4 linked regions of the Caenorhabditis elegans genome follow. The protein of the gene in region 1 purifies or fractionates together with the protein of each later gene. This does not show direct contact. Each region holds a gene or a part of one and is shown in the gene's direction. Other genes may lie near its edges. The genes, in order: cdc-5L, sftb-2, bcas-2 and prp-8.

What was found.
Region 2: the proteins of cdc-5L (region 1) and sftb-2 fractionate together in Caenorhabditis elegans (co-fractionation; one large-scale study listed by BioGRID). This does not show direct contact.
Region 3: the proteins of cdc-5L (region 1) and bcas-2 fractionate together in Caenorhabditis elegans (co-fractionation; one large-scale study listed by BioGRID). This does not show direct contact.
Region 4: the proteins of cdc-5L (region 1) and prp-8 fractionate together in Caenorhabditis elegans (co-fractionation; one large-scale study listed by BioGRID). This does not show direct contact.

What each region holds. Positions count from the first base shown.
Region 1 is NC_003279.8:8,487,750-8,497,243, forward strand, and holds cdc-5L (Cell division cycle 5-like protein), read left to right. Parts: upstream 1-3,541; 5' UTR 3,542-3,556; coding exon 3,557-3,601; intron 3,602-3,646; coding exon 3,647-3,742; intron 3,743-3,791; coding exon 3,792-4,095; intron 4,096-4,137; coding exon 4,138-4,337; intron 4,338-4,394; coding exon 4,395-5,741; intron 5,742-7,270; coding exon 7,271-7,353; intron 7,354-7,400; coding exon 7,401-7,519; intron 7,520-7,801; coding exon 7,802-7,875; 3' UTR 7,876-8,106; downstream 8,107-9,494. Other genes in the region: lotr-1 (HTH OST-type domain-containing protein), read left to right, coding at 9-142, 188-502, 548-751, 821-996, 1,043-1,115, 1,168-1,415, 1,462-2,300, 2,346-2,595 and 1 more.
Region 2 is NC_003283.11:126,666-134,861, forward strand, and holds sftb-2 (PSP proline-rich domain-containing protein), read left to right. Parts: upstream 1-1,571; coding exon 1,572-1,862; intron 1,863-1,910; coding exon 1,911-2,688; intron 2,689-3,525; coding exon 3,526-4,169; intron 4,170-4,786; coding exon 4,787-4,882; 3' UTR 4,883-5,006; downstream 5,007-8,196. Other genes in the region: W03F9.2 (C2H2-type domain-containing protein), read right to left, coding at 424-756, 803-1,065, 1,116-1,173, 1,230-1,286.
Region 3 is NC_003281.10:6,241,559-6,247,563, reverse strand, and holds bcas-2 (Pre-mRNA-splicing factor SPF27), read left to right. Parts: upstream 1-1,735; 5' UTR 1,736-1,744; coding exon 1,745-1,807; intron 1,808-1,904; coding exon 1,905-1,994; intron 1,995-2,045; coding exon 2,046-2,237; intron 2,238-2,311; coding exon 2,312-2,577; intron 2,578-2,628; coding exon 2,629-2,734; 3' UTR 2,735-2,892; downstream 2,893-6,005. Other genes in the region: gen-1 (GEN1 Holliday junction resolvase homolog), read left to right, coding at 1-207, 262-427, 479-592, 642-825, 873-1,075, 1,235-1,286.
Region 4 is NC_003281.10:8,162,638-8,170,062, forward strand, and holds the start of prp-8 (Pre-mRNA-splicing factor 8 homolog), read left to right. Parts: upstream 1-1,735; 5' UTR 1,736-1,739; coding exon 1,740-2,569; intron 2,570-2,623; coding exon 2,624-2,861; intron 2,862-2,902; exon of another isoform or gene 2,903-3,035; intron 3,036-3,061; coding exon 3,062-3,281; intron 3,282-3,353; coding exon 3,354-4,098; intron 4,099-4,146; coding exon 4,147-5,563; intron 5,564-5,576; exon of another isoform or gene 5,577-5,746; intron 5,747-5,794; coding exon 5,795-6,796; intron 6,797-6,848; coding exon 6,849-7,321; intron 7,322-7,425. Other genes in the region: bath-42 (BTB and MATH domain-containing protein 42), read right to left, coding at 1-255, 306-574, 629-689. UniProt on the Caenorhabditis elegans protein: Functions as a scaffold that mediates the ordered assembly of spliceosomal proteins and snRNAs. Required for the assembly of the U4/U6-U5 tri-snRNP complex.

The sequences.
Region 1 (9,494 bases):
ATTTTCAGGTGCAACCAAAGTCGATCAATGTAACTGAGAATCAAAAGGTAGACCCTATGCGTAAAGTCAAAATCGAGCTTCAAGCTGTTTTGGTTGCGGAAAAAATACCAATTAGTACAGAAGAAATCAGACGGCGTCTGCTGTGAGTTTCTTTTTGCGAAAAATAACGACACTACCTTTGTTTCAGGGATTCTTATGGTGCATGTCCTGATCCGAAAAGATATAACTGTTCGACTTTGGACGATCTTCTTCAAGCATGCTCGGAGTCAATTGTACACACTTTCGGCCGTGATGGAATACACCGATATGGGCCAAGAACTACTGAAGCCAACCAAGATATTATCGAAATGGTCCAGCAGCAGTCGAGCTCAAAACGCCCGGCCCGCTCGTTTTTAGGTTCAGGAGCTACTAATAACCTCAGCACTCATGGGTCATCATTCCGGGCATTCAGAGGTCCGTATGCGTCAGAGGAAATCGCTAAATCGAGAGGAACACCTGAGCAGTATGTGGAAGTTTAAAAAATCGTTGTCAATGATTTGTTTTTTAGATTCAAAGCAAGACACAAGTTGGGTCCAGCAAAAACAATTTCTCGCGTAAAAAACCTTGCAGAGGTTTTGAAAGAATATGCTGATGAGATAGGAGTTTCACATCCTGATGAGCCAAATCGCAAGATTGTAACACTGGCAGCTCTTGCCAATAAGTTCAAACAGTTGTATTGTTTACCAGCATGGGGAAAGAACATATCGGAAAGGTAATTCACTTGCGCAAAAGTATTGTTGCGCTTTTATAGTCAGTTCTAAATTGAATGTTTTGATTTCAGTGAACTATACATTCAGCTCAATGTTCCTCCTTTCAACGAATATCTGCATTTCTGGCGTCTTAGCGAAAAAGGTGACATCTTCGTTGATTGTATTGATCGTGACAATGCCGATCCAACTCAAAAAAGTGAACAAAATCCGTCAGCAGATGTTTCTATTCAATCTGAATCTTTTGGCGGTAAAAGTGATCAAATGATGCTTTCCAATAGTAATTTATTTTACAGGTTCAGCTTCAGCGTTTGAACAATCTGTAGTATCCGCTCCTTCAACTATTAGAGATCAAACATCCGATTCCTTGTAAGGGCACATTTTGATCACTGTTTTTCAGATGTTATTTATCAATTTTCAGTGACGGGTTCAACAGTTTCGAAGTGCCCCCAGAAAATGGAAGCAAAGATTCAAAAATTTTCAACTCGAATCAAGAAAGCATCGATGACTATCCAGGAAATGCTATATCTCGAGATCGAACCGCTGATATGACCGACATTGCATTGCGCTTTGGAACTGTCTCTGTGGCAAGCCAACAATGTCCGGTATCTTCGTCACTCGTTCCACAAAATGGAATTCTTCGTCAGTCGCGTGCTCAAGAAGACGACAGTGAGAAAACATTTTCGCTGCTAATGAACAAATATTGAATTTACAGACAACACATCTATTCTAACTATTCAATCATCTCGTCGCAATCATTCAGTGCTTCGTCATCGTACGATCAAGCCTCGCAATCCAACACAAAATCTTGCTGAAGTCGTAAAAACTCATGGTAGCATTCCTTATGAAGCGCTTTCGGATTGTGATAAGATTATCGTCGACTTAGGAAAGAACATTTTCAAAGTTTATGCAACTCAACCTGGAGAAATGATGGTCCGCCTTTGTGATCCCCACGTTGACACGACTACATTGCCACTCCTAGAGAACAATCTTCGGGATCCTGTCGAGTCTGATTTACGTTGGATGACACTGGGAAATTCCCATATCAAGAAACAATCTGTTAAAGTGGTCAAGCCTGCAATGTTTATTGCGCCACGCGGATTTTTGTTGATTTTAAAAGATGAAGAACGTGAAGAAATGGACGTTGAAAAGGTTGCTACTATGGGGAATATATTGCGGGCCGTGATGGTAGCGCCTATTGTGGAGCTCCAGCGTGAAACCGTCCGCACGGGATCAGCTGCAGTCTACGTTTATCGACAAGGAGCGGAGGTGCGCTATTATAGAGTGTTGATAGTTGGACAAGCTAAACAAGATGGTGAAGTGTTGGTTTTGTTGGCTGATGTCGATGATCAATATTTCGTGGATGTACATCTATCTCATTTGTTCCCGATTCCGGAAGAAGCCAGCTTCAAACACTTTCCCTCGAATGTTGTATTCGCAACATTGCATGGAGTACTGGGTTTGACGCTTTCTGAGCAGGATGTGATGTTCGAAAACATTGATAATGATGATACAAAACGATTTGTGGGTGGATATTTTCATGGAAACGATGACGTGAGTTTACAGATGGTTGTTTAGAAATTTGTTTAATGTTTGCAGAGAATTCTTAACATCGATATGGTTTGGAAAAATGAGCGTGGTCAATTTGAGTGGCTTTCACAAATTGTCAAGAGACGTGGAGCAGTTACTTCGTCCGATGCCAACATCATTCACTTTCCACATTCTGCACTCGATGTGATAAAGTCTGTTGGACCAGATTGTTCGGTGTGCTTTGTCGACTATTCAGTTCGTGATGAATCTGCAACATCTTCATTGATGGAATCGACTAGAATTGTTCATGATAGTCGTGGTTTGTGTCAAAATCGTTAGATTTTAAAATCATTTTCGTTTCAGAATCTATGACAACTACTTATGTTGGTGAGATGCCAAGCCCAATTATCGAAGAAATCGATGCAACATCTTCATTTGACCCAAAACTCTTGAATCTCCATTCATTGTTCGATAAGTTAATCGAGGAACAGAATGTTACTATGATTGTGGGGATGTTCCAATTCGTTCGAAGTTTGAAGGATTTATTCGGCGATAACAATGAATGGGAACGCTTGCTCACGTACATGCTCACGACTGGTAAAAACAATAACATTCGTCTCTGAAACATTTCTAATCCACGTGTCAGATTTTCACATCTGTGCCATTAAAACTGCACGTTAGCAACATATTCCATAATCTTATTTGTGCCCCTTTCCCTATAGAATTTTCAGAAACTCGTTTTTGTTTCTTCTTTTAACAATAATTTTTCATTGTTTTATAGCTGTTTTCACATGGTTTCCGATTTATGTGCATTTAGAGTACACTTGTGATTTAAACTCGCAAATGTTAACTCTACCCAATATGTTTCTTTTTTATATCTAATTCGTACTGAAAATGAAGTTTTTATGCGCACTGTCGATCTTTTTTATTTAAAGGCGGTTAATGGCCGTGGCCTCGTATTGTCCTTCGTGTACTAGTCCTCCACATTTCGAAAGCGAGCTCCATTCGAAAAATACACATTTTCTTCTTGATAGTTTCTGTTTTGCCTTTTTGTTTCAGTAATCTCCATGTATTCTGCGGGAATTTTTAGTATCGAATTATTTAAAAATCAATACAACTTGTTCGTAACACTCGTTAGCTTTCAAAATAGTAACGTTGATTAAAATATTTACCGAGTTGACTTTATTTTAAATTCTTTAATCTATCAAATTGGTGCCAAATTCAATTTTTACCATTCAAATTCGCAAATCTAGTTTTCGTTGCAGTAAGCAAAACCAAACATGGTGCGAGTTATTATCAAAGGAGGTGTGTGGAAGAATACAGAGGTTAGTTGCAAATCAAGTTGTTTTCACAAAAATAAAACGTTTCAGGATGAAATCCTCAAAGCAGCTATTATGAAATACGGAAAAAATCAATGGAGTCGAATTGCTTCACTGTTGCACAGAAAATCAGCAAAACAATGCAAGGTATTTCGGATTAATTTCAAAAATTGATTGCACAAAAATATGATTTCAGGCTCGTTGGTTCGAGTGGCTTGATCCAGGAATTAAAAAGACAGAATGGTCACGTGAAGAAGATGAAAAACTTCTTCATCTCGCTAAGCTGATGCCAACGCAATGGAGAACAATTGCACCAATTGTCGGAAGAACATCAGCGCAGTGCCTGGAACGATATGAGCATTTGCTGGATGAAGCTCAACGAAAAGCAGAAGGTCTTGATGAAGAAGCTACTGAAACTAGAAAATTAAAACCTGGAGAAATCGATCCAACACCTGAGACAAAACCAGCGAGACCTGATCCAATTGACATGGATGATGATGGTATGTGTTCAACTCGTCTATAACTCTAATTTCACGTTTTAGAATTGGAAATGCTCTCTGAGGCTCGTGCACGTTTGGCCAACACTCAAGGAAAAAAGGCGAAGAGAAAGGCTCGCGAGCGTCAGCTTTCTGATGCACGTCGTCTGGCTTCGCTTCAAAAACGAAGGGAGATGCGAGCAGCTGGCTTAGCTTTTGCCAGAAAGTTCAAGCCAAAGCGAAACCAAATTGACTACAGTGAGGAGGTTAGTTGAATTGAAAAATTTGTCTCTAAGTGTCTCTAATCCCATTTTTTGTTTCAGATTCCATTCGAAAAACATGTTCCAGCTGGATTCCATAATCCATCTGAGGACAGATATGTCGTGGAAGATGCAAACCAGAAAGCCATCGAAGATCATCAAAAACCACGTGGCCGCGAAATTGAAATGGAAATGCGACGAGAGGATCGTGAAAAACTGAAAAAGCGTAAAGAACAAGGAGAAGCCGATGCGGTATTCAACATCAAAGAGAAAAAACGTTCGAAGTTGGTCCTACCCGAACCACAGATTTCTGATCGTGAGCTTGAACAAATCGTCAAGATTGGTCATGCATCTGACAGTGTTCGGCAATATATTGACGGAACAGCTACAAGTGGATTGCTCACTGATTACACTGAATCAGCAAGAGCCAATGCAGTTGCTGCAAGAACTATGAGAACACCGATGCTCAAGGATACGGTTCAATTAGAACTCGAAAACCTAATGGCTCTACAGAATACCGAATCAGCATTGAAAGGAGGGTTGAACACCCCACTTCACGAATCAGAACTCGGAAAAGGCGTTCTACCAACTCCCAAAGTTGCGGCCACTCCAAACACAGTTCTCCATGCAATTGCAGCCACGCCAGGAACTCAATCACAGTTTCCCGGATCCACACCAGGTGGTTTCGCTACTCCAGCTGGAAGCGTTGCTGCAACTCCGTTCAGAGATCAAATGCGTATTAACGAGGAGATTGCTGGATCAGCTTTAGAACAAAAAGCTAGTCTGAAGCGTGCTTTGGCCAGTCTGCCAACTCCAAAAAATGATTTTGAAGTCGTTGGACCTGATGATGATGAAGTTGAAGGAGCTGTTGAAGATGAGAGTAACCAAGATGAAGATGGATGGATTGAAGATGCATCTGAAAGAGCTGAAAATAAAGCAAAGAGAAATGCGGAGAATCGTGTCAGAAATATGAAAATGCGATCACAAGTCATTCAAAGATCACTTCCAAAACCAACAAAAGTTAACGAACAAGCTACACGGGCAACCAACTCGTCAGCAGATGACATGGTCAAAGCCGAAATGAGCAAACTTCTTGCTTGGGACGTAGACAACAAGCCACCATCAGTAATCTACTCCCGTGAAGAGCTTGATGCGGCTGCTGATTTAATCAAACAAGAAGCTGAATCAGGACCAGAATTGAACAGTCTAATGTGGAAAGTTGTCGAACAATGTACTTCGGAAATTATTCTGAGTAAAGATAAGTTCACACGTATTGCTATCCTACCACGAGAAGAACAGATGAAAGCTTTGAATGATGAATTCCAAATGTACAGAGGATGGATGAATCAACGGGCGAAACGAGCTGCAAAAGTTGAGAAAAAGCTGAGAGTCAAGTTGGGCGGTTATCAGGTGAGCATTCCGTCTAAGAATCTGTTCCTGGAACTAAATAATGTAACTTTAACTGTAAAAAAATTCTAGATTTTTTATGATTTTTTTCAACTTTGGAAAATTAAAAAAACTCTAATATTTTTGAATTTCCGCGTGAATGAATGACTCACTAAGTATCAGAAGCAATATATTTTGGCGTTTTCTGGCTAATCAGACTGGTTTTCTTTAATATTAGGTTTGAAACACGGCTTGTCGAATTTTCAGACAATTTTCAACAAAATTCTAAATTTATGTGGAAATGTCGTTTTAGACTAATTTTGAAGTTTAAAATAATTTATTCGGGGTTATCGAGTTTTCTTTGCGGAAAAATTTCTGAAAAATTGAAAAATTTCATATCACATGTTAAAAAAAAAACCTTATTTCTTCTATTAATATGGCTGCAATACTATTTTTCGATGGTCTTCCCGCTTGCAATACTAATAGGGAGTGCAAGACTATTAGGGAGTGCAATACTAATTTTCAGAACATTTTTCTGACTTTGAGCTTACTATTTTTTTTTCTGAAAAAACTCGAACCTTGTGTGAAAATTCAGAAAATTTGATTGTAATTGCAACAAAAAGGTGTAATAACTTCAATTTCATAGAAATTTTTCCAAAAATTGTTGCACAGTAGGCAAAAAATGTTGTTAAAATCTCAAAATTAGTAAGGTGATTTTGTACCAAAAAAAAGTAGACGCAAGACTATTAGGGAGTGCAACACTAATAGGGAGTGCAATACTAATTTTCGGAGGGTGTTCAAGGAGCAATACTAATAGGGAGTGCAAGTCTAATAGGGAGGCCATATTAATAGAAGAAATACGGTAATCAAGAAAAAACCCGCAATTCAAAAAATAATTAGTCCATTTTTAATTTTTTTTGCAAAACGGGGAAAAATCATAAAGAATCTAGCAAAATGTATGGTATTTTTTACGGTTATATTTGCGGTCTATTTTCTGTAATTTAAAACAAAATCTCCTAGTTTTCCCTTTATAATGTTTCTTTATTTGACTTTCTCATGCCCCCGTTTTGTTCTCTTCAATTAACAAGATATTCTGTCCATTTTAATGGTGATCTCGGGTCTCCCACCACCAACCCGCCTGTTGGTTTCTGCTGCTATTCAATTCATTCACATAGTCCTCCACTCTCTATGGATGTGCCCATTCAAACGCCTATCTGTCGCGTGGGTGCTCCCCCCTGTGGTGTTGAAATGGGCGACAGTGCTGAGTGATGTTGAAAGGGTTCGGAGAAGAAAGTGGGTGGATTAGAAAGACGTTACAGTAATTTATGACTTGTGTTCTTCTTCTTTTTTTCATTTCACTTGAAGAGTCGACACAGAAACTACGCAAAATCCTCGAATAAATTAAATAAAGTTCCGAGAAACGTTGAGAAAAATGGGCGGAATTACTTTTGAATGGGGTTCTACGGTCAGCTTTTGAACGGAATTCGTTTCAAGTTTTCTTTTAGAACCAAATTGTGCCTAACCTTCTTCAAATAGTGATTTTTGAATTTCAGGCTATTCATGACAAGCTGTGTAAAAAGTATCAGGAAGTCACCACCGAGATTGAGATGGCTAATATTGAAAAGAAAACTTTTGAGTAAGCACAAATATTTATTTTTTAGAATTCATATAATCAATTTTCAGACGTCTCGGAGAGCATGAGTTGAAGGCAATCAACAAACGCGTCGGGCGTCTTCAACAAGAAGTCACAACACAAGAAACTCGGGAGAAGGATCTTCAAAAGATGTATTCAAAGTTGTCGAGTAAGTTTTCATTCGTTCCTCTGACCCTTAACTAGAATAGTACAACTTTCATTGTGCACATAAATTCCAAAAGAATTGTGTATAGGATTAAGAGATCTCATTCATTCTTCGTTTTGTCATTCAAATTGACACTTGACTGAATGAGCACAATACAGTCTTTTGAGAGAAGCAGCAACAAGCTGTGTGGTCGTCTCTTGGTGACACCTGCTTTGATTTATTAGGTCACTCAAAGTGCCTTACATTTATTTTGTGACTTGAAACTCATGGTTTTCCTATTTTCAGATAAGCAATGGAAACTGTCTCAAATTGAAATCCACGATGCAGCTTCAACCACATCAGCACCGATTACATACTAATTCAATTTTGGCGCCCTCAGCTTTTTTGTTCCTTTTAACATTTTACCTATATATCGTTTTATTTATCTCTTCCTCTGTTTTTTTTCGCTTCTTTCGGATCACACTCTTCCTTTCTTCCGTAATCTCCTATTGTGTTTTTGAACTGTTTCTCTCTTTCTGTGTTTTAGCGGCTTCGATCATCCGTTTGTGGAACAAATGAATCGTCATTTTACTATGGCAATCCTTATCTTACAAACGGCTTCCGACATATCCGACCGGCTTTTGGGAAAGTGTTGCGCAATGGTGTTAGTGAACGAAGCAAAGGGGGATACATGCATTTATACATGGTAATGTGATTTTGGTGGGTTTAAAGGAATGTTGCCATTTTTATGTGGTCTCCCGCGGGGCGTGGTTGGTCCAATGGAATACGGTAGAAGTAAAACTGAGTGTGTATGTTTACGAAGGTGCTTCTCTCTTTCTTTTTAACGAATAAATTACTAACGGAGGTGTGAGGAGTCTCATCGGCTGATCAAACATTCATGAAACGGATTACTGTAGTTTTAGGGTGTGTCGCAAGAGAAAGCTAGTTGGATTTATAGAATTCATTTGATTTTTGAACTGTTCTGTAAAAATAGGCGTTTCAATTTCAGATTTGAGTTTCAATTAATTCTAATTCTAAAATTGTTGTCGAAAAAAAAACATGTTTTCAGAAAAAAATTTTCTATAATCTTTTTCTTAGAGCCATATGGGTACTTACCAAGGGTCATACAAAAGTAATTATTCAAAATTAAACTACTTTTTGCGTCTTGCAAATCTGGTGACTGACTGAAATTTTGGGTCTTCGAGAACAGGGGTGGGCATTCTTGATTGATTGATTTCTTGAATTTCTTGATTTCTTGACATTTTGTCAAGAATTCTTGTTTCTTGATTTCTTGATAAATTGTGTCAAGAAATTAAGAAATTTTTTAACTCGAAATTTAGGCTGAAAAACTGGGTTTTCTATTTTTTCCGAAATTTTTTTTTTCGCTATTTTTGTCCTTTTCAGAATATATTAACTCAAAAAACACCATAAAACCCAATTTCAGTTGAAAAAACGAGAATTTCAGAAAGAAATTCAAAAAGATTGAAAACGTTTTTGTCGAAAATTATTAGTTTTGCACGTTTTGCCCGTTTTCGAAGTTCCTTCTGATGATATTTGTTTAAAAAAATAAGTTAAAACTGATAAATTTAACTATTTCTTCCAATTTCGTTCAAAAATATTGGCCGGAGAAAATTTCTTGATTTTTCTTGATTTCTTGACTTTGAAAAAGTTTGCCCACCCTTGTTCGAGAAGCAATGATTTATTTCTGTAAAAAATCGCTCGAAAGCCTGGAACATTTGATCAAAAAGTGTGTGCTGATCCATGTGTGTATTTTTTACTTAGCATGCTAATTAATAGTCTTTTTCTTCTTATTTAAATATCCATGCAAACCCCCTTAAACCCAAAGAGTTTTTCCAAAGAAAAATTGATTTGTTGCGTAACCACAATACCTCCTCAATTCGCCTCATTACTCCTCGTCTCGCAACGTTTGATTTCGCGCGCGTGCGCCACAAGAAAAATTGTTGCAACTTTTTCACCTTTTTGTCCTTTTCATTTTCCC
Region 2 (8,196 bases), on another chromosome or scaffold:
AATTTGTTGATTAAAATCGAAAATTATCTGCTTTAAAGTATTAATTTTAGAGAGAAATCTGGAAAAAACTGGAAAAATCTGGAAAAGAAAAACAAAAAAAATTCAAGTCTGCAAAGTTGCGTGACGGTGTTTGCGGACAAACGCCTGCGCCTCTTCATTTCGCGTTGTGCCTCGCGGTTTTTAATTATAAAATTTTTTAATAATTAGAATTCAGTACACATTCTTGTAAAGCCTTCCTATCTTGTGTCACTGAAGCTTTTTCGCAAAAAAAGCGCTTCCAAAGTAGCAGAAGAAACTGAGAAAAATGAATAAAACATTAAATGTCTGCGCTAAAATCTGTATTTTATTTTTATTTCAAAAAACGAATAAAAATCTTGTGATGAAGTTTTATTGACGGAAAATCGAATGAATATTTCATTTTTATCAAATTCCAACAGTATCTTGTTGCTCGTAGTCGTAGTTTCGGGATTCCAGAGACAGAAGTGCTGGATTGCCGGGCTTTTGAGCATTTGTAACCGATTTTTCTTGTGGCGGCGCTTCTTTTTCAGTTTCTGTGTGTTTTGAGATCATTTCATGGCGAAGACAGCATGGAAGATGCACTTTCACAGCTTTAAACTTGATTTTTTGAAGTTTTTCAATCATTTTCAGCCCATTTTCAAGTCGTTCTTTCGAAATTCCGAGTTGCTCGGTGGTTTTTGCATTTTCCAGACATTCGATCAACTGATTTTCCTTTGCAAAATCCGTCTGTTTGATGAGCTAAAAATTAATTAAATAAAATATAAAACGCAATACTAAATTTCACCTGAAAACTGCCAGGTTTGCCACCATGAAAATGTTCCAGGTGGTGCTTTCCTTCATCTTCGGTGTGAAAATTCAAGTTCCGGCATCCAGAGCATCGAAACGGGCGGTATATTATATGAGTCTGGAGCATGTGGAACTCGTATGCCGCCCATGTTGACCAGGCCACGGAGCAGGTTTCGCAGACAGGCCTTGGAGCATTTTCGGGAATCGATTCCCCGTAGGAGTCTGGATTGAATTCGGGAACTGATGAAGTTGGGAGTTTTCCTGAAGGTTAAAAAAAATTAATTTCACAAATAATATTTATAAATAATCACGTTTTAATGCAGAAGCTGGCTGAACAACTCGGATGGTGCACTGGCGTTGAGGGGAGCTCTGAAAAAAGAAATCTATAAAAAATGGCAGTATTTCTCAGCTTATTTGCAACTCACGAGAGTGACTAGATAATCGTCATGGTCTTGGGCTCCTGATGTAGATGGCTCTGTCATTTCAACCTGAATTTTCTGTTTTTAATCTTTTTAAAGCATTATAAAGCTTTAAAAAAATTTAAAAAAAAAAGAGAAAATTCAATGATAAAACAGTGTGCAAAAATGAGAGACGGAGAGTATTTGGCGTCGGTTTCAGTGTTTGGTACGCAAACACCGACCCATTGCGTACTCTTCGAATTAAATTTTTTTTGCGAATTTTTAGATTTTTCAACGTTTTTGCGGTTAAAAACCTCTTTTCCTCATTGAAAACTTTTCAATTTTCAACTAAATGTTTTCCTTTTTCAGATGTCAGGCGAGGATGACTACAATTCAGACGATGAGGCTAACAAGAACCTATCTAAAAAGGAGCTTCAGGAGTTGAAGAGAAAACAGCAGAAAAGCAAAAAGAAGAAGGAATCGAAGAAGAGAGCAAAAGCCACGAAGCAAGCTGAAATAGAAACACGAGAGGAGCCGAAAAAAGAGGAGGAAAATGGTGACGATCTTGACGTGGAAATCGATTATATCGGTGAAACAATTGAAATTGAGCCGGATAACCCGCACGCTCAATACTTTTCCGCAATTTTTGATGCTTTTAAGGTAACATATCACTATTTGTTAATGTTTTTCCAATATATCGGCTTCCAGATCTCCACCGACTCAGAAGACGGCTTCTCCTACGGCCATCACGTTTCCAAAGGCGAGAAAAAGGATGATTTGGGAAAAGTCGGTCAGGCCGAGCGAATTATTCAAGAGGAGATGGAAGAACGTGCCAAAGAAAACACAGAGGAGAAGCTTTCGCGTAGAAAACTCCGAATTTCTCTTCAACCGAGTATTGCAAAGCTTAAAGAGACGACACTTCGAGCCGATGTTGTTGAATGGGCCGATGTGACTTCTCGTGATCCGTATCTCCTTGTCGCAATGAAATCTTATAGAAATTCAGTTCCAGTTCCACGCCATTGGAATGCAAAGCGTAAATATCTCGCCGGAAAGCGAGGATTCGAACGGCCACCATTTGAGTTGCCAGATTTTATTAAAAGAACCGGAATTCAGGATATGAGAGAAGCGCTGCTGGAAAAAGAAGAAAGCCAGAGCCTTAAATCAAAAATGAGAGAGCGGGCCCGCCCGAAGCTTGGAAAAATCGATATTGATTATCAAAAACTTCACGACGCGTTCTTCAAATGGCAAACCAAGCCGGCTATGACAAAAATGGGCGAGCTCTACTATGAAGGAAAAGAGATGGAGGCGATGATGAGAGACAAGAAGCCGGGTGAAATGTCGGATGAGCTTAGAATTGCACTGGGAATGCCCATCGGATCGAATGCGTTCAAGTTTCCACCGCCATGGTTGATTGCGATGCAACGTTACGGACCACCGCCCAGTTTTCCGCATATTAAGATTCCTGGATTGAATGCGCCGATTCCTGGTACGGTAAAATGTTCTGGATGTACTATTTTAGAGCAGAAATCTAAAAAACATTATGAAAAATTTTACATTTCAACATAAAATTACCAAAAACCTAGAAAATTGCCTGCTAAATTTCATTTTCAACGTAAAATTAACAAATCTGTGAATTTTTGCACCTGTACCGACCACAAGAACTGAGATCGTGGCGAGACCCGCTTTAAGCGCCAAATTTTTGCAAAATGATAAATAATTTTCTTTTGATAAAAAATTTTCTTCGCATAATTTAACACACAAATATTCATAAATTCTGCCAAAAAAAATTATTATGAAATTTTCAGATATTTTTTTCGCAAAAACATGTTATCCTGAAAGAAATTAAGACAAACTTGACAATTTTATGTTCAGTAAATACATTTTACGAAAAAAAAATGTCTGAAAATTCAGAAAAAATTTGGTTTTGGTTGAAAAAATTATGAAATCAAATTTAGAAAAATAAAAAATAACTTCTTTCACGATTTTCAAGCAAAAAATACGATACTGGGTCTCGACACGACAAATTAATGTTTAATGCGAGGTGCTATATTTTGATCAATTTTTCCAAATTTATCAATTAAAAACTCAAAAAAAAAACAAGTTTTGGTAAATTTTGGGAGATGCCACATTGAAAAGTTGGTTAAATTTTCAATTTTAACGGATTGTAGGTCATTTTTTGAGCCACCATAACTTTTTTTGAGGTTTTAAAAAAGTGTGCTTATGAAATTCGGTAGTTTAAACGATTTCGAGTCTAATAAAGCAATAAAAAATTTCGACTACAACTTTAAAGCCGTAAAAATGGAAAAAAAATTGAAATTTTCAGAGGGCTGCGCATTCGGCTATCACGCAGGAGGTTGGGGAAAACCACCAGTCGACGAGTACGGACATCCTCTGTACGGAGACGTGTTCGGATTGGCCGCTCCAGCTTTCGAGCCCGAAGACGAATCGCAAATCGAGCGGCGATATTGGGGAGAGATCGGATCCGACGAGAGCAGTGACGAGGAAGAGTCGGAGGAGGAAGAACATGCCGACGATGATGATGCTGATGTTGAAGGAGGATTCCAGACACCTGCACCGGTTGAGGGAATGATCACACCATCTGGAATGACGACTGGAATCACTGGAATCGAGACTCCTGACACGATTGAGCTCCGGAAAGGAAAAGAGAGCTCTGTGCTCGGAACAGACACTCCTGCGGCTGCCTATCATATCATTCCGGAGAAGAAGAACGAACGTATCGGTGGACAAATGATGGCATCCTCCCATACTTATGATCTTTCCAAGAAGCATGCGGTTCGTGACGATGGAGTTCAGATTTCGCTGGATCCTGAGTCTATTGATATGGATGAGCAAGGACTGGCGGCTCGGTACGAGGAGCAGCTCCGAAAGCAAAAGCATCGGGATGATGATGATGAGGATCGAGAGGATTTGACGGATATGGTGGCTGAGCACGCTGCCAAACAGAATGTTAGTGTGTCGAAAAAAAAAATTTCTTGAAAATTCAAAGAAACATTTGAAATTTGTTGGAATTTCCCTAATTTTACTGTAAAAGTACTCTAGTAGTACTGTAGGATTACTGTAAAATTACTTCAGCACGCGGTGCCAATCTGTCCCATTACAGTTTGATCTACAAAAAATGCGGGAATTTTTTGCCCAAAAAAAAAATGACGGCGGCACGTTTTTAACCATGCAAAATCAGTTGAGAACTCTGCGTCTCTACTCCCGCATTTTTCGGAGATCAAACCGAAAAGAGACATTCTGACACCAGTGTTCAGGAGTACTGTAGGTGTTTTGTAGTAGTAGTAAAACTTTAGGGGTACTGTAGGGATACTGTACTGTTTTTGTATTTTGAAAAAATAGTGGAGATACCGGGGTACTGTAGTTTTGAAAAAATATTTCTTTTTGAAACGATAATGGATGGGATTATGGACTTTAGGTATACTGTAGGAGTACTGTAATTTTGAAAAAAAGTGTTTTCTTTTCTTCGTTGTAGTATTGTAGGGATACTATATGAGTACTGTAAAAGTGAATATTGAAAAAATAGAAAAAAATATCGTCTCAAAAAATTAAATTTTCATTTTCAGAGAAAACGCAAAGTTCAAGATGACAAGAAGAACAAGACGTCATCATCCTCGTCGTCAGGATCCAGTGGCAAGAAGCATAAGGACTTCAAATTTTGAAAATCTGATTGTTTTAATTTATTATTTCTTTCTCTCTTTTTTTTTGTAATTTTTAAGCTTAAATTCCAATTTTTCTGTCACCCCAAATAATCGCCCCACAATTTCAATTAAATGTATTCTGTAATTGAGAGTTTTATACATTTTTGGAAAAGTTTTACTATAAGAATTTGAAAGTGCACAAAAATTGGAAAATAATTTTTTAAAAATAAAAAAAATAAATTTCAAAATGTTTCGGTTTCTCAAAAAATAAAAATTAAAAAAAGTCGAAAATCATAAGTAAATTTAGAAAATTAATTTTAAAAAAAACGTGTTTCGTTTTGCTTCCAGAAATAATCGAAAATAAAAAAAACTTTATTTTTTTAGAATTGCAAAAAGCGGGTCCCACCACGAAAATGTCAAGCTACAGTAACCCCATTTTCGTCGCGAGACCCAAAATTTCCAAAGTTAAAGGAACCTAGTCATGATTATACTTATTTCAAAGCTCTCAATGAGCTGAATTCAGATTTTGCAATATTTTTTTGAAATTTCGATGCGTTTCGTTGCGGGACTCAAAATTTGGAGAATTTCAAAAATTGGCAAAACATAGTCAGCTAAATTCAAATTTTGCAGTAATTTTTTTTCTAATTTTTCTAATGTACTTTCACTGAACAATTAATTAAAATTTCAGATTAAAAAAAATTAAAAAATCTGAAAAATTGGAAAATATAAAAAAAAGCAATTTTTTTTGAAATTCAAAAAATTTCTAAATTTTCCATCTACCAATTTTCAGAGATTGGAGCTGCTCAACAACAGAAGAATTCAATAGAGAAATGGATTTGGAGCAAATGAAGAAGACGAAAAATAAATAAATATGAAAAATAAATATTTTCTTTCTAACCAGGAGAAAAAAATGGGGAAAAAATTTATAAATCGAGTATTTATGACAGGAATGAATTAAAACAGAAATCACAGAAAGTTTAATTAAGCGAGAATTTTTCGCAGCAGAGTCGTGAAGATCCCACCATCAGTCCTTGAACAAGTCGCTATTATAGATGTCCTGCATTGAAGTGGCTGTGACACATCCAGCAAAAGTACGTTCAAGCTTCTGAAATAATTATTTTAAACTATGGATTTCAGATTGTCACAAACATCACGATCTGCAACTGACGCCGCGAGTTCCTTCAAATCCTGAGCCACTTGTGCAACATCTTGGTGTGGTGTGCTGGTGGGATCCGGAACTGAAATTAAAAATTTTCCTAATCTTTGAAAAAAAATTAGCAACTCACCATCATCTTGAACACCAGCTGGTCCTCTTTGGTTTCCTTCACAAGCAAGTTCCCGAAGTTTGGATCATTTTGAAAGACCCCGGCTTTATTTGCAAGCATCGTCGACAAGACGAATTGACGTAGGATGCTCGTCGCTACGTCCGCCGTCAGGTCACGCTGGCCGAACAGCGATCCGGCATTCTCCATCACCAAAACAAGCATGTGAGCTATGTCATCGTCAGGCAGCAACTCTTCGGGAAGTTTTTAAACCACAGCTGACGTCTTGAGAGGCGTAAAGTTGGGAGACCGTTTGGCGACTGGAATGAGGCGGGCATAGGCTTGAATTTCGGCCTGGGCTTGAAGGTTGACATCGTCCGTTTGCAGAGGATAGAGCTTTGCCACTAACTCTTTCCCTGTCCCTCCTGTGTTTCCATCTACAAATTGCCTTCCCATCGTTATTCCCATCGCTTTCCATGGCATCACATTTTTCCGTTTCGTGTACTCGAGGAGGTAACCAAATGCAGCTTTATCTGTAAAAAATGGAGTTAAAAAGTTATGCGTATTCTAGGATTACTGTAGGGTTACTGTAGTTAGAGTAAACTGATTTTTTTGGGTCTCGAAGAGAAAGTTAGTGTTCTGGGGGTACTGTAGTTATAACTTTAATTTTTGAATTTTAATAATTTTTTTGTTGTGATAATAATTTAAAAATTAAAGAAAATACCTTTCTCCTGATTCTTGCCAGCGGTCGTGCTTTCTGCGTTGGTTGGATGCTGTAAATTGTTTAAAACATTTAAAACATTGAAATTTTTGGCGGAAAATTCAAATTTTCAGATAACAATTCATTCGCAAAAAATTTAGATTATCGAGCTGAAATCGAATAAACTCATGAAATTGCAGAAATTGGCTCTCACCACGAAACTGCTAAGCTACAGTAACCCTATTTTCGTGGCGAGACCCAAAACTTGCAGAATTTTTAAAAATTGGAAAAACCTAGTCATGATTATATTTATTTGAAAGCTCTCAATGAGGTGAATTCAGATTTTTTAGTAATTTATTTTTAATTTCGTCGCTTTTCGTGGTGGGACCCAAATTTTGGAGAATTTTAAAATTGTCAAAACCTAGTCATGATTATACTTATTCGAAAGCTCTCAATGAGGTGAATTCAGATTTTTTAGTAATTTATTTTTAATTTTGTCGCTTTTCGTGGCGGGACTCAAGTTTATTCGAAAATTCCAATTTGCTGACAAAAATTTTTTGCCGATAAATTTAAATTTTCAGCGGAAAATTTTAATTTTCGAGCTGAATTTGAATAAACTTTTTCAAAAATCGGCTCCCACCAAGAAAATGCTAAATGCTACAGTAACCTCATTTTCGTGGCGATGCCCGAAATTTGGAGAATTTTAAAAATTGGCAAAACCTAGTCATGATTATACTTATTCGAAAGCTCCCAATGAGCTGAATTCAGATTTTTTAGGAATTTTTTTGTAATTTCGTCACTTTTCGTGGCGGGACCCGATTTTTGGAAAATTTTAAAAATTGACCAAACCTAGTCATGATTATACTTATTCGAAAGCTCCCAATGAGCTGAATTCAGATTTTTTAGGAATTTTTTTGTAATTTCGTCACTTTTCGTGGCGGGACCCAAATTTATTCGAAAATTCAAATTTTCGGATAACAATTTTTAGCAGAAAAATTTAAATTTTTGAGTTGAATTCGTATAAACTCATGAAATTGCAAAAATTGCCTCCTACCACGAAAATGCTGAACTGTAACCCCTTTTTCGTAGCAGGACCCAAAATTTCCACAGTTAGTGGAACATAGTCGTGATGTATACTTATTTAAAAGCTCTCAATGAGCTGAATTCAGAATTTTAAAAAATTCTAGTTAATTTCGTCACTTTTTCGTGGCGGGACCCCAATTTATTCAAAAATACATCGACCCGAGCCAAACGTTTTATTTTCACTGGTTTTCACCAAATTTATCAGAATTTTTTGCAACAACTGAAGATTATGTTAATTTTTCACATAAAAGGTTGGTGAAAAACAGAGAAAATAAAGCTGTGCAGCCAAG
Region 3 (6,005 bases), on another chromosome or scaffold:
TCATCATTGCTCCAGGAGATGGTGAAGCTCAATGTGCACGGTTAGAAGATCTCGGAGTGACAAGTGGTTGTATAACGACAGATTTCGATTACTTTTTGTTTGGCGGAAAGAATTTGTACAGATTTGACTTTACCGCCGGCACTTCTTCCACCGCTTGTCTTCATGACATCATGCATCTTTCCCTGGGAAGAATGTTTATGGAGAAAAGTAAGTAGTTTTCAGCGTTGAAAAAATAAAGTAATCGTTAAAAAGTTGTTTCAGAAGTCTCCCGTCCTCATCTAATTTCAACTGCAATTCTTCTCGGTTGCGACTATTTTCAACGTGGTGTTCAAAACATTGGAATTGTCTCGGTTTTTGATATTCTGGGAGAATTTGGTGACGACGGAAATGAAGAAATAGATCCTCATGTGATTTTAGATCGTTTTGCGTAAGCTGTTCTAACTGTGTTTATTATGAATATTTTATTATTATTATTCAGGTCATACGTACGCGAAGAAATTCCAGCTCGTTCAGAAGACACCCAACGGAAGCTTCGTTTACGACGAAAAAAGTATAATTTTCCTGTTGGATTTCCTAATTGTGATGCCGTACAGTTAGTTTTTATTAGAAGTTGCTGTATCTATTTTTTTTTTAATTTTCAGCAATGCAATTACGATGTATCTTCGGCCACCCGTATCAAGTGAAATTCCGAAAATTATTCCAAGAGCTGCAAATTTTCAACAAGTCGCAGAGATTATGATGAAGGAATGTGGTTGGCCAGCAACAAGAACACAGAAAGAATTAGCTCTTAGTATTCGGAGAAAAGTGCATCTGACGACAACTGTGGTGAGCAAATAATTTTAGAATATTCACAAAAATGTATATATTTCCAGGCTCAAACTCGAATTCCTGATTTCTTTGCTGCCACCAAATCGAAGAATTTCACACCGATCGTAGAGCCATGTGAATCACTTGAAGACTACATTTCTGCAAATAATACTTGGATGAGAAAACGAAAACGATCAGAATCTCCACAAATTTTACAACACCATGCGAAACGACAGGTTCCAGACAGAAAGCGATCTGTAAAAATACGGTGAGACTTTGTTGGAAAAATTATGAACATTTGACAATAAAAATTGTAAAACGAAAAATCTATTTCGAAATCACTCAAAATTAATATTTTCGTGCAAAATAACTTATTTTTAAAGTTTGTTTCCCGTTAAAAAAAAACAATTAAACGGTTTTATTGCAGTGCCTTCAAGCCATATCCCACTGATGTCATCGAACTTGGCGACTCGGATTAATATACAAAAAAAGTTCATCCAAATTACTCATATTTCGAATTTAAAAATTCATAATTTTAAACCCCCAATTCACACAGTATACATCCTCTCATTTTTATCCAACATTTGTCTCACACACATTCCGAAGGATCCTTCCACTTTTTTGTACTATTTCCCACTCTTTTTCTCCAAAAATCCCGTTGAAAATTGAAAATTCCCCTTTTGATTCTCGAAAAAATGGTTCCCGTTGAAAACTTCTTTTTTTTAAATCCGGCCGTAATAGTTTCTATTCGACTTTTTTTTGCTTATTGCTCGTCTCAATTGTAATATGATTTGATTGAACACAAGTAATTTGATTGAGAAATAATTCAAAAAGTCAATGTTTCTTGGTTTTTATTTTCGAAGTGTTAATTCATGTTAATCTTTATCTCTAATCTCAGAAGTTCATTATTTCGACAGAACAATTTCAGGTTCACGTGATGAGCTCCAAACCGTTAGCACTTACCGGTGGAAGTGGTTCTAGTCAGTTGCAGGATGATCAGGTAAATATTTTTGAGATTCTAAAATCAATTTTATCCACCTATCCAAGTTTTTAAGTAGTTTAAACTACTAGTTTCAGTGTAAAATGACTATTTTCAGGTTCTTGTCGATGCTCTTCCTTACCTTGACACAGAGTACAACGAGGCGGATCGACAGCTCGCAATGAAACTTGTGGAGCATGAGTGCAAGGTTCATTACTTCTGCCAATTCCGCCATATATGGAAAATTTAATGTTTTCAGACATTCCGTCCAACGAAAAATTACTTGACACATCTTCCAGTGCCCGACTATGATGCTTTTCTCACAAAGTGTATGCTCAAAGAAATGGATCGAATGAAAAAGAAAGAAGAGATGGGAAAGTTGGATATGAGTCGTTGTGAACTTCCTGCTCCATCTGCTGTTAAGGGAGTTGATAGAAAACTTTGGGCGAAGGTTAGTAGATAAATTTCAATGAATCAATAAAGGCAACTACTAATTAAAAAATACATCATAATATTCGTTTTCAGGTTCTTCGCAATGCAAAAGCTCAAAATGAGCATCTTCTGATGCGCCAGATCAATCTGGAACTTATGGATGAATACGCTGCTGAGAGTTATCTTCAGAGAAACAAAGTTATGGAAGATCTTCTAACACATGCCGAGAAAGAACTCCGAAAAACGAAAGAAGCCGTCATGGAAGTTCATGCGAATCGAAAAATGGCACAGTTGAAGGCAGGAGAAAAAGTAAAACAATTGGAACAGTCATGGGTCAGCATGGTTACCAATAATTATAGGTAAGACAAAATACTTTGTTCTAATTTTTAATTACTTATTCAACTTTTCAGAATGGAAATGGAAAATCGACAAATCGACAGTGATAACAGAAAACAAATCAAGGCGCTCAAATTGGATCCGACAAAGTTAGATGACAAAGAGGATCAGGAGAACTGATTTTGGATTTGGCTCTATTTAAAAAATGTTTTATACACACTTCAAATCGATACTCTTTTCACTTTCTCCACTTGTCCCTGTTATTGCCCCTTATTATTTTTGCATATTTGTTTAACATATTTTTATTCGTGAAACAAAATAAAACAATGGGAAATTTCTGTAAGATTCGTTTCAAGTTATGCAAAATATGAGAATCTAGGCGTCTTTATAAGGCAAGTTTTCTACTCTCGAGGGATCCTATTCTGTTCTCTACCAATCGACTGCCTCCTGTAAAATTATGAAGGGTAGGTTTTTCAAAAGATGATACCTAACTAGTTCTTGGAAAAGCTCTAAATTACAGTGAGCTGGATTTTTTAAACTATCAGGTTATACAAATCTACAAAAATGTCAAACTCGGAACCCCTTTTCAGTCGAAGTTTTGGCAAATTGCCAAAATTTTGAAAAATATGAGCTTAGAGATCCAAAGCAATGAAAAACATTTTTTGGTCGACTTCCAAAATTATGAGTTGCAAAAACTGAGTAATTGTCACTTTTTGACAGCAAATAAAAATTCTCAAAACTTTAAATTGTTTTCAAAACGATTTAGCTCTATAGTAGTAGTAATTTTCCAACTTGAAGGATAGCGTAGAAAGTGGATGAAAAAAGAAATGGAAAATTACAGTACTCTCCGCAATTGTCTTCATTGGAGTATTACATCGAGTGGCTATTGCTGGTTAGTTTACTTTCTGACAACAAATTTAGACACTTTCAAGGTTGGGAAATATTTCCAGATATTTCTAAAATTTATGTATTGTCTTGTTCTGACTTTGTTCTGAATTATCCTTAAAATTTCAATAAACCCCAATTCCATTCCAGGCAGTCTCCAAGACCCAGACCCTAAAGCAATACCTGGTCTGAATGAATTTCGGGGAATGAATATTCTCGGTTTCTATGAAGCACTCAAAGAACTTTACCTCACTGGTGGATTTTCAAAGAGCCTTCCATTCAATAGTATTATTCTTTCACAACTGTCGATTCCTGATATTGTTTATCAACAATTGATACGAGCATTTGAATTGACAAGATGGGAAATTAAAAATGGAGATTCTTCTTTGAAACGGTTAGAAGGAATTATTGCACTCAACGAGCCTTCTGTATTGCCTCGTGAACCATGGCTAATTCAACTTGCTACTACAATTCAAGCGAGCTCTAGGAACACTCGAAACGTGGCATTTTCCATTCGAGAACTTGGAGCGAAACTAGTAAAGGATAAATTCTCTAGGGAGAGCTACATAAATGGAACTGTTCTTCGAACTTATATTAATACTTGGCTCAATGCAGAATTACCAGAAGAAGTGCACAAAGCTAATTTGGTCGAAGTTTTAGTTACTTGCCATCATACTCTTGGCCCTGAAAATTTCGGAAAATTGGGTGACTTTCTTGAGATAATACCATTCCAGATGAACGGAATGTATAGAAAAGATTCCGAATTTTTGTATTTTTACGAACATCGTGTAGGAGAAGCCATTGCTAATTCGGATCAAACAGTGCAAATGTTGATTTTTTATTCGAGATGGTTTTATGAACGTCACTGCAACGAAAGATGTTAAAGATTCAATTATAAATCGTCTTGCATCAATAGATCTTCTTTCTTCTCAAGATCTTCAGATATTCGACGGATCACAACCAGGATCTAAAAACACAACAAGACATGAAAAGACTCTGAATAACTTGTCGAAGATTTGGGCGGAAATTGGGAATAAAGAACTGAAAACCAGATTTGTAAATGCAGCAAGACCAATCATCAATGAAATTGGAGGTTTGGAAGGTGCCAAGAGTGCATTGATTGCTGGAGCAAGACTGATTAAGAATTTTGATGGCTCCGTGGAAAACGCAAAACTAAAATACAATCAGTTGATTCAAACTTTCCAAGCTTTTCCACATTTCAAAGAGCTTCTCCCATTGGCTTTTGACATCACCATGCTTCTTAACAGAACTACCAATACAGAGGGAGTCACTGGATCTCAGCTTCTTTTCAGCTTAGTCTTTGAGCAGAAGTTCACACCATCAAATATGATATTCGAGTCTACGAAGACTAAATCTCTAGAAACTATGCAGACATTTTTCGGAGCAATAAATTTTTCGAAAACTTCAGGATTTGGGACTCTAATGGAAGTTCTTGCTAAGGAGAAGATTCGATTAAACAAGTTCAGAGATTATGTCTCAAAACTTGACGATGATAGAATATTAGTAAGGAACTTGAGAAAATATTTCGATGTTACTACAACTGAAGAAATCGGGAAAAAAGTTCGTTCGGCGCTCCAAAGTATTCGAGATATTTCATCCACTAATGAGGATCTCAATGAAATTCTGAAAACTGTTCGAGACATTTACCGATCCAGTAACTCTGCAAGTATCTTCATGTTGCTCTCTGACATTTCAAAATTATCAAGAGATGCGAGATGGCTGGATTCATGGTCTGCATTCAGGGCGATCCACAACTTGAACAATGGGCCTCCATCATATCCTCTATCTCTTGCAGCCCTCTTCCAAGATCTTTATAAAATTATAAAATCGAATGGAAGCTACCGAGAAGTATTTCTGGCACTGCAAATGCTCATGGAAATGGAGAAACCGGAAGTGATCACTGCAAAATGCAAATTCATCGATTCCTTCTACACAGGACTTCAAAACATTGACAATTCAATCGAAGAATTCGGAGTGATCACGAGTGATATTCACCGTTGGAATGAAGCAACAATTTCTGTAGATGCCCTTGTCCAATTGTTGAAAGCATCAGGATCGTTGGAAAATCTGAAAAAGTTTCTCGGTTACCACAATAGCTACACAACTGATGTAAACAACCCGAATAATTCAGTTGACAAAATTGGTGATATGATAGTTTATTTGGAAAAGAATGGATACAGTAAGTTTGAAACACGTTTAGGTAGATTTAAAAAAATACTCAATTTGTTAAACTTCAGGAACCCCTGGACAATAACGGCAAGCGACAACGTTCTTCCTTTCTTCTGACTCATTCAATTTAATTGAATAAATTATTGATAACTTTATGACGATTTTTGATTAAATACATAAAATACGCGGAAAAACTTTTGGTTGGGCCATCGTTCCAAATTGTGATATTTGAGAATTTACCACTGACAATCCATTTAAAATTCAAATAATTCTTTTCCAAAGTTAGACTTTGTTTGGCCAAGAGTTTTTATAAAGATTCTCACCACTCGCAAAACCCACATGACACTTTCACATGTAAGGTACAAAATTTTATTAA
Region 4 (7,425 bases), on another chromosome or scaffold:
CTCTGTGCTAACATCTTCGTCCACAACTGGCTCAACTGATATTTTTGATCCAGGAGGGAAGTATTCAACTTCACAAATCAAAAAGAGAGTTCCGTCAGATCGAAGTGCCCCAAGCATCTTATCACGCGAAACTTGGAACTTTCCACGCCCTTGTTGGTTTGTGAAATCTTTGGTATCTCTGCATACACTGACTCTTTGATTATTAGCATCGAGAGCATAAATTTGAAATTCTGTCATGATGGGCTCCTCTCCTCTCTGAAAAAGGTTTTTATATTTTATATATAGAAAATATGAATGAAACTTACGGCTAATCCAACTTGTCTCAAGAAAAACGATACATTATTCACATCTTCATCACGCTTTCCATTTGGATACACATGAAGTTCCCAGCAAACTGTTGGCGCATCAGGGACACTAAACATTCTTGAAATAAGATTCGAACCGTTTTTGATTAGTTTCATCAATTTCTCAAATTGTTCGATTTTCCATTCCAATTTTGTAGAAAGTGCCGTCACACGCGTTGCTTGCTTCGAAACTACTTCTAGACGGCGAGGTTGTGGAGGAAGATCGTCAGCTGAAAATGAAAATAATGTTAAACTCTCAAATTAATTGAGCTATTCTCACTAACCTCTGGAACTGATTGTGCGATTAATCTGCTCCGTGGATGACCACGAGGAACGTGAAGACATATTATATTGCGAATAAGTTTTACCTCTGTTGATAAGTTGAGCGAGCAAGAGGTTATTCTGAAAATAAATTCAATTAAAAGAAAGCTATTCCCGATAATCTCGATAAAAATAAAAGAAAATGATTAAATTCAAAAAGACACAACAACTGGGAAACTCCGCGAATGAATTATTTACGAAAAGCAGGAGTTCTTTGTTAGAGTTACGAAATAAGCAATACGATTTTCGAAACCGATCTACGAAAAATTACACATATTAGAAAAGTATTAAAATTACGAAATCGCCGTTTGATATTCGAAAATACTACCTTTTTTTTAAGTTGGACAGTTTTTAAAGTTTTCAAAAGGAGATCTTCATGAACTCGTCTATGAGGAATAAATGTGGTACATTTCAATATAAAATGGGTAACAATGACAGTTTGGAAATAATTTCCTTTTCGAAAAATTGATATTTGTACAAAATTCGGAACAGTTTCGAAAAAATGATATTACCCCAGTCACATGACTTGAAAAAGGAAAAGTTGCAATTCAGAAGCTTTACTCAGATTCTGAGGGCAATAGAAAATGCCAATAAGTTTTCGAAAAATCAATAAATTTTTTCGGGCAGATGTCTTTCCTCGGCGGCGGCGAACGCGAACGCAAATAATGGCTGCCAAGAAGAGGCGGGTCTATTGATCGAAACATTACGCCGAAGAGTGTTTGAATTACCGGGCACCGTAACCTCAAACACCTGCAGATCTAAGTACGACGCTCCACTCGACACAATTGCGCGCGTTGTTTAGATTTAAGGAAATTTAAATTTTACTTTCGAAAATAGAAATTATCGGTTTTTATTCATGATTTTCTGGTTCAGTCTGAATAAATTCCGTTTTTTAATGTAAATTTTGTGCGCTATTAACTGTAATGCACAATTCCAACTATCAATTCATGTGATCTTACAGTCTAAACAAAGACAAATCTCTCTTTCCAGTTTCTCTACAGTAATACTTATTTTTCCTTGCTCGTCAACTCATTGATTAGTTTTAATTCTATTTTTATATAGTGTGTTATAGGTATGGCCAACTACGGCGGTCATCCCCAAACTGAACCACATGCTATCCCGGATTCAATTCTGGAAGAAAAGTCTCGAAAATGGAAACAACTTCAAGGAAAGCGGTATTCGGAGAAAAAGAAGTTTGGAATGTCCGATACGCAGAAAGAAGAAATGCCACCTGAGCACGTCCGAAAAGTTATCAGAGATCATGGTGATATGACTTCTCGCAAATATCGTCATGATAAAAGAGTCTACCTCGGTGCTTTGAAATATATGCCACATGCCGTTTTGAAGCTACTGGAGAACATGCCGATGCCCTGGGAACAAATCAGAGATGTAAAAGTTCTGTATCACATCACCGGTGCGATCACTTTTGTCAACGACATTCCGCGTGTCATCGAGCCGGTCTACATGGCACAATGGGGAACGATGTGGATTATGATGAGAAGAGAAAAACGTGATCGTCGTCATTTCAAGCGAATGAGATTCCCTCCATTTGACGATGAAGAACCGCCTCTCGATTATGCTGATAATATTCTGGATGTCGAGCCTTTAGAGCCAATTCAAATGGAACTAGATCCAGAAGAAGACGGAGCTGTTGCTGAATGGTTCTACGATCACAAGCCTCTTGCAACAACTCGATTTGTGAACGGCCCAACGTACAGAAAATGGGCATTCAGTATTCCACAGATGTCCACATTGTATCGTCTTGCAAATCAGCTGCTTACCGATTTAGTAGATGATAACTACTTCTACTTGTTTGACATGAAAAGTTTCTTCACTGCTAAAGCACTCAACGTTGCAATTCCAGGAGGCCCGAAGTTCGAACCATTGGTAAAAGATTTACATACGTAAGTGAAAAGCTTCCAGTTGTGTTATGACGCATACTATTTTATTATTTTCAGTGATGAAGACTGGAACGAGTTCAATGATATCAATAAAGTTATTATTCGAGCTCCAATTCGTACCGAGTACAGAATTGCATTCCCATTCATGTACAACAATCTGATCAGCTCGCTGCCTGTTCAAGTTTCATGGTATCATACTCCTTCAGTTGTATTTATCAAAACTGAAGACCCAGATCTTCCCGCATTCTACTATGATCCATTGATCAATCCAATCGTTCTCAGCAACTTGAAAGCAGTGAGTTATTTACAAGTTTCAGCAATGTTTTAAAATAAAATGCGGATATTATAAACAGATTCCTATAAATTTACAAGGTAGTCAGTAGCCGAAATTCGCAATATAAATTTTCCATTAAAGGCGAGAAATCATCCTTTTTGTCGGTGATATCTAGAAATAAAACTGGAGACAATTCGTATTGTATGTCAAAACATTTTCAGACTGAAGAAAATCTACCAGAAGGTGAAGAGGAAGACGAGTGGGAGCTGCCTGAAGATGTTCGACCCATTTTTGAAGACGTTCCACTCTACACCGATAACACGGCTAATGGTTTAGCACTTCTATGGGCCCCTCGGCCATTCAATCTTCGATCGGGAAGAACGAGAAGAGCAGTGGATGTACCACTTGTCAAATCGTGGTATAGAGAACATTGTCCAGCAGGTTAGTTTTGTTTCTATTTTTTTCGTTTCGTTTCTCGCATACTAAGCTGAAATAATATATTCAATTTTTCAGGAATGCCCGTGAAAGTTCGTGTTTCTTATCAGAAACTGCTCAAGGTGTTTGTTCTGAACGCTCTCAAACATCGTCCACCGAAGCCCCAGAAGCGTCGTTATCTGTTCCGTTCCTTCAAGGCAACAAAATTCTTCCAAACAACCACCCTGGATTGGGTAGAAGCTGGATTGCAAGTTCTTCGTCAAGGATACAACATGCTCAATTTGCTCATTCACCGAAAGAATCTCAACTATCTTCATCTTGATTACAACTTCAATTTGAAACCAGTTAAAACATTGACAACAAAGGAAAGAAAGAAATCTCGTTTCGGAAATGCATTCCATTTGTGCAGAGAAATCCTTCGTCTCACAAAACTTGTTGTTGATGCCCATGTTCAGTATCGTTTGAACAACGTCGATGCGTACCAACTTGCAGATGGTCTACAATATATCTTTGCTCACGTCGGTCAACTGACCGGAATGTATCGTTACAAGTACAAGCTCATGAGACAAGTCAGAATGTGCAAGGATCTCAAGCATCTCATCTACTATCGTTTCAACACTGGGCCGGTTGGTAAAGGACCTGGATGTGGTTTTTGGGCTCCGGGATGGAGAGTTTGGTTGTTCTTCTTGCGTGGAATCACACCACTGCTCGAGAGATGGCTTGGAAATCTGTTGTCTCGACAATTCGAAGGAAGACATTCAAAGGGAGTGGCCAAGACAGTCACCAAGCAAAGAGTTGAATCTCATTTCGATCTTGAATTACGGTAAGCTTTAAATGGCAAGAAAACGAATTTATTTATTAATATTTTCAGTGCTGCTGTCATGCATGACATTCTGGATATGATGCCGGACGGAATCAAACAAAATAAGGCTCGTGTTATTCTTCAGCATTTGTCAGAGGCGTGGAGATGTTGGAAGGCTAATATTCCATGGAAGGTTCCCGGACTGCCAACTCCAGTTGAAAATATGATTCTACGTTATGTGAAAGCAAAGGCTGATTGGTGGACTAATTCGGCACATTACAACAGAGAACGTGTAAGACGAGGAGCGACAGTAGACAAAACTGTGTGCAAGAAGAACTTGGGTAGATTGACAAGATTATACCTGAAATCAGAGCAAGAAAGACAACACAATTACTTGAAGGACGGACCATATATCTCTGCAGAAGAAGCTGTTGCAATTTACACGACTACAGTACATTGGCTGGAATCAAGAAGATTTTCTCCGATTCCTTTCCCACCACTTTCTTACAAACACGACACAAAACTTCTTATTTTGGCTCTTGAAAGACTGAAGGAAAGTTACAGTGTGAAGAATAGATTGAATCAATCCCAAAGAGAAGAACTGGCTTTAATTGAACAGGCTTATGATAATCCTCACGAAGCTTTGTCTCGTATCAAGAGACACATGCTCACGCAGCGTGCATTCAAAGAAGTCGGAATTGAGTTTATGGATCTCTACACTCATCTTATTCCAGTCTACGATATCGAGCCTCTTGAGAAAGTCACTGACGCTTACCTCGATCAATACCTCTGGTATGAAGCAGACAAGAGAAGATTGTTCCCGGCATGGGTGAAACCAGGAGATACTGAACCACCACCGCTTCTTACATACAAATGGTGTCAAGGTCTCAACAATCTTCAAGATGTTTGGGAGACAAGTGAAGGAGAGTGTAATGTCATCATGGAAACAAAATTGGAGAAAATTGCTGAAAAAATGGATTTGACACTTCTCAATAGATTGCTCAGATTGATTGTGGATCACAATATTGCCGATTACATGACTTCGAAGAACAACGTTCTCATCAACTATAAGGATATGAACCACACCAATTCTTTCGGAATTATTCGTGGTCTACAATTTGCTTCGTTTATTGTTCAATTCTATGGATTAGTTCTTGATCTTCTTGTTCTTGGACTTCGACGAGCTTCCGAAATTGCCGGTCCGCCCCAATGTCCAAACGAGTTCTTGCAATTCCAGGATGTTGCCACAGAAATTGGTCACCCTATTCGTCTCTACTGCCGGTACATCGACCGAGTTTGGATCATGTTCCGTTTCAGTGCTGATGAAGCACGTGATTTGATTCAAAGATACTTGACAGAGCATCCAGATCCGAATAATGAGAATATTGTCGGTTATAACAACAAAAAGTGTTGGCCAAGAGACGCTAGAATGAGATTGATGAAACATGATGTCAATTTGGGTCGTGCTGTCTTCTGGGATATCAAGGTAAATTTTATTTTTAATTATTTTTTTAAAATTTTAACACGAGGTATAAGAAAGCGAGCAATTATTCGATGGCTGCTCGTTGATAATTCCTCGAAAACTAATGGAAATTAAGCGATTATCCGCCTCATGAACAGATCCATCATTTAACTTGAATGATAAGGTCTACTTGACAGGCGTACATTAAAATGTAGAATTTACTATTTTGATTTTTAAATATTTGTTATTTTACAGAACCGTCTCCCACGTTCCATCACAACTGTCGAGTGGGAAAATTCATTCGTATCAGTGTACAGTAAGGATAACCCGAACATGTTGTTCGACATGTCCGGATTCGAGTGTCGTATTCTACCAAAGTGTCGTACGGCTAATGAAGAGTTTGTTCATCGTGATGGTGTATGGAATCTTCAAAACGAAGTGACAAAGGAAAGAACTGCTCAGTGCTTCTTGAAGGTCGATGAGGAGTCATTGTCCAAATTCCATAACAGAATTCGTCAAATTTTGATGTCTTCTGGATCTACAACGTTCACCAAAATTGTCAACAAATGGAATACAGCATTGATCGGATTGATGACCTACTTCAGAGAAGCTGTTGTGAACACTCAAGAACTTTTGGATTTATTGGTGAAATGTGAGAATAAAATTCAAACGAGAATCAAGATTGGACTCAACTCAAAAATGCCCTCAAGATTCCCTCCAGTTGTTTTCTATACGCCAAAAGAAATCGGAGGACTTGGAATGCTATCTATGGGACACGTCTTGATCCCACAGTCTGATCTTCGATGGATGCAACAAACGGAAGCTGGAGGTGTCACTCACTTCCGTTCCGGAATGAGTCACGATGAAGACCAATTGATTCCAAATCTGTACAGATATATTCAACCTTGGGAAGCAGAGTTTGTCGATTCTGTTCGTGTGTGGGCAGAATATGCGCTCAAGAGACAAGAAGCCAACGCTCAAAATAGAAGACTCACTTTGGAAGATCTCGACGATTCATGGGATCGTGGAATTCCGAGAATCAATACTTTGTTCCAAAAAGATCGTCACACATTGGCATACGATAAAGGATGGCGTGTTAGAACCGAATTCAAGGCTTATCAAATTCTGAAGCAAAATCCATTCTGGTGGACACATCAAAGACACGACGGAAAGTTATGGAACTTGAACAACTATAGAACAGACATGATTCAAGCACTTGGAGGAGTAGAAGGAATTTTGGAACATACATTATTCAGGGTAAGTGTTAACAGATATAATTTGCTTTCTTGTCTTATATGTGTATTTTTAGGGAACCTACTTCCCAACATGGGAAGGTTTGTTCTGGGAACGTGCATCTGGATTCGAAGAGTCGATGAAATTCAAGAAACTGACAAACGCCCAACGTTCTGGACTTAATCAAATTCCGAATCGTCGTTTCACTCTCTGGTGGTCTCCAACTATCAACCGTGCTAATGTCTACGTCGGTTTCCAAGTACAACTCGATTTGACTGGAATTTTCATGCACGGAAAGATCCCGACGCTCAAGATTTCTCTCATTCAAATCTTCCGTGCTCACTTGTGGCAAAAGATTCACGAGTCAGTAGTTATGGATCTGTGTCAAGTTTTCGATCAGGAACTCGATGCACTTGAGATTCAAACAGTCCAAAAAGAAACTATCCATCCGAGAAAGTCTTACAAAATGAACAGTTCGTGTGCCGACGTACTTCTCTTTGCTCAATACAAGTGGAATGTGTCTAGGCCTTCTTTGATGGCAGACAGCAAGTGAGTTTATGTGAAATGTTGTTTGAAAATGATATACTTTTAGCAAAGATAATTTTCTCAAAAATTTCTGAACTTTTCTTTTAAATAGTTAATTTTAATTTTTC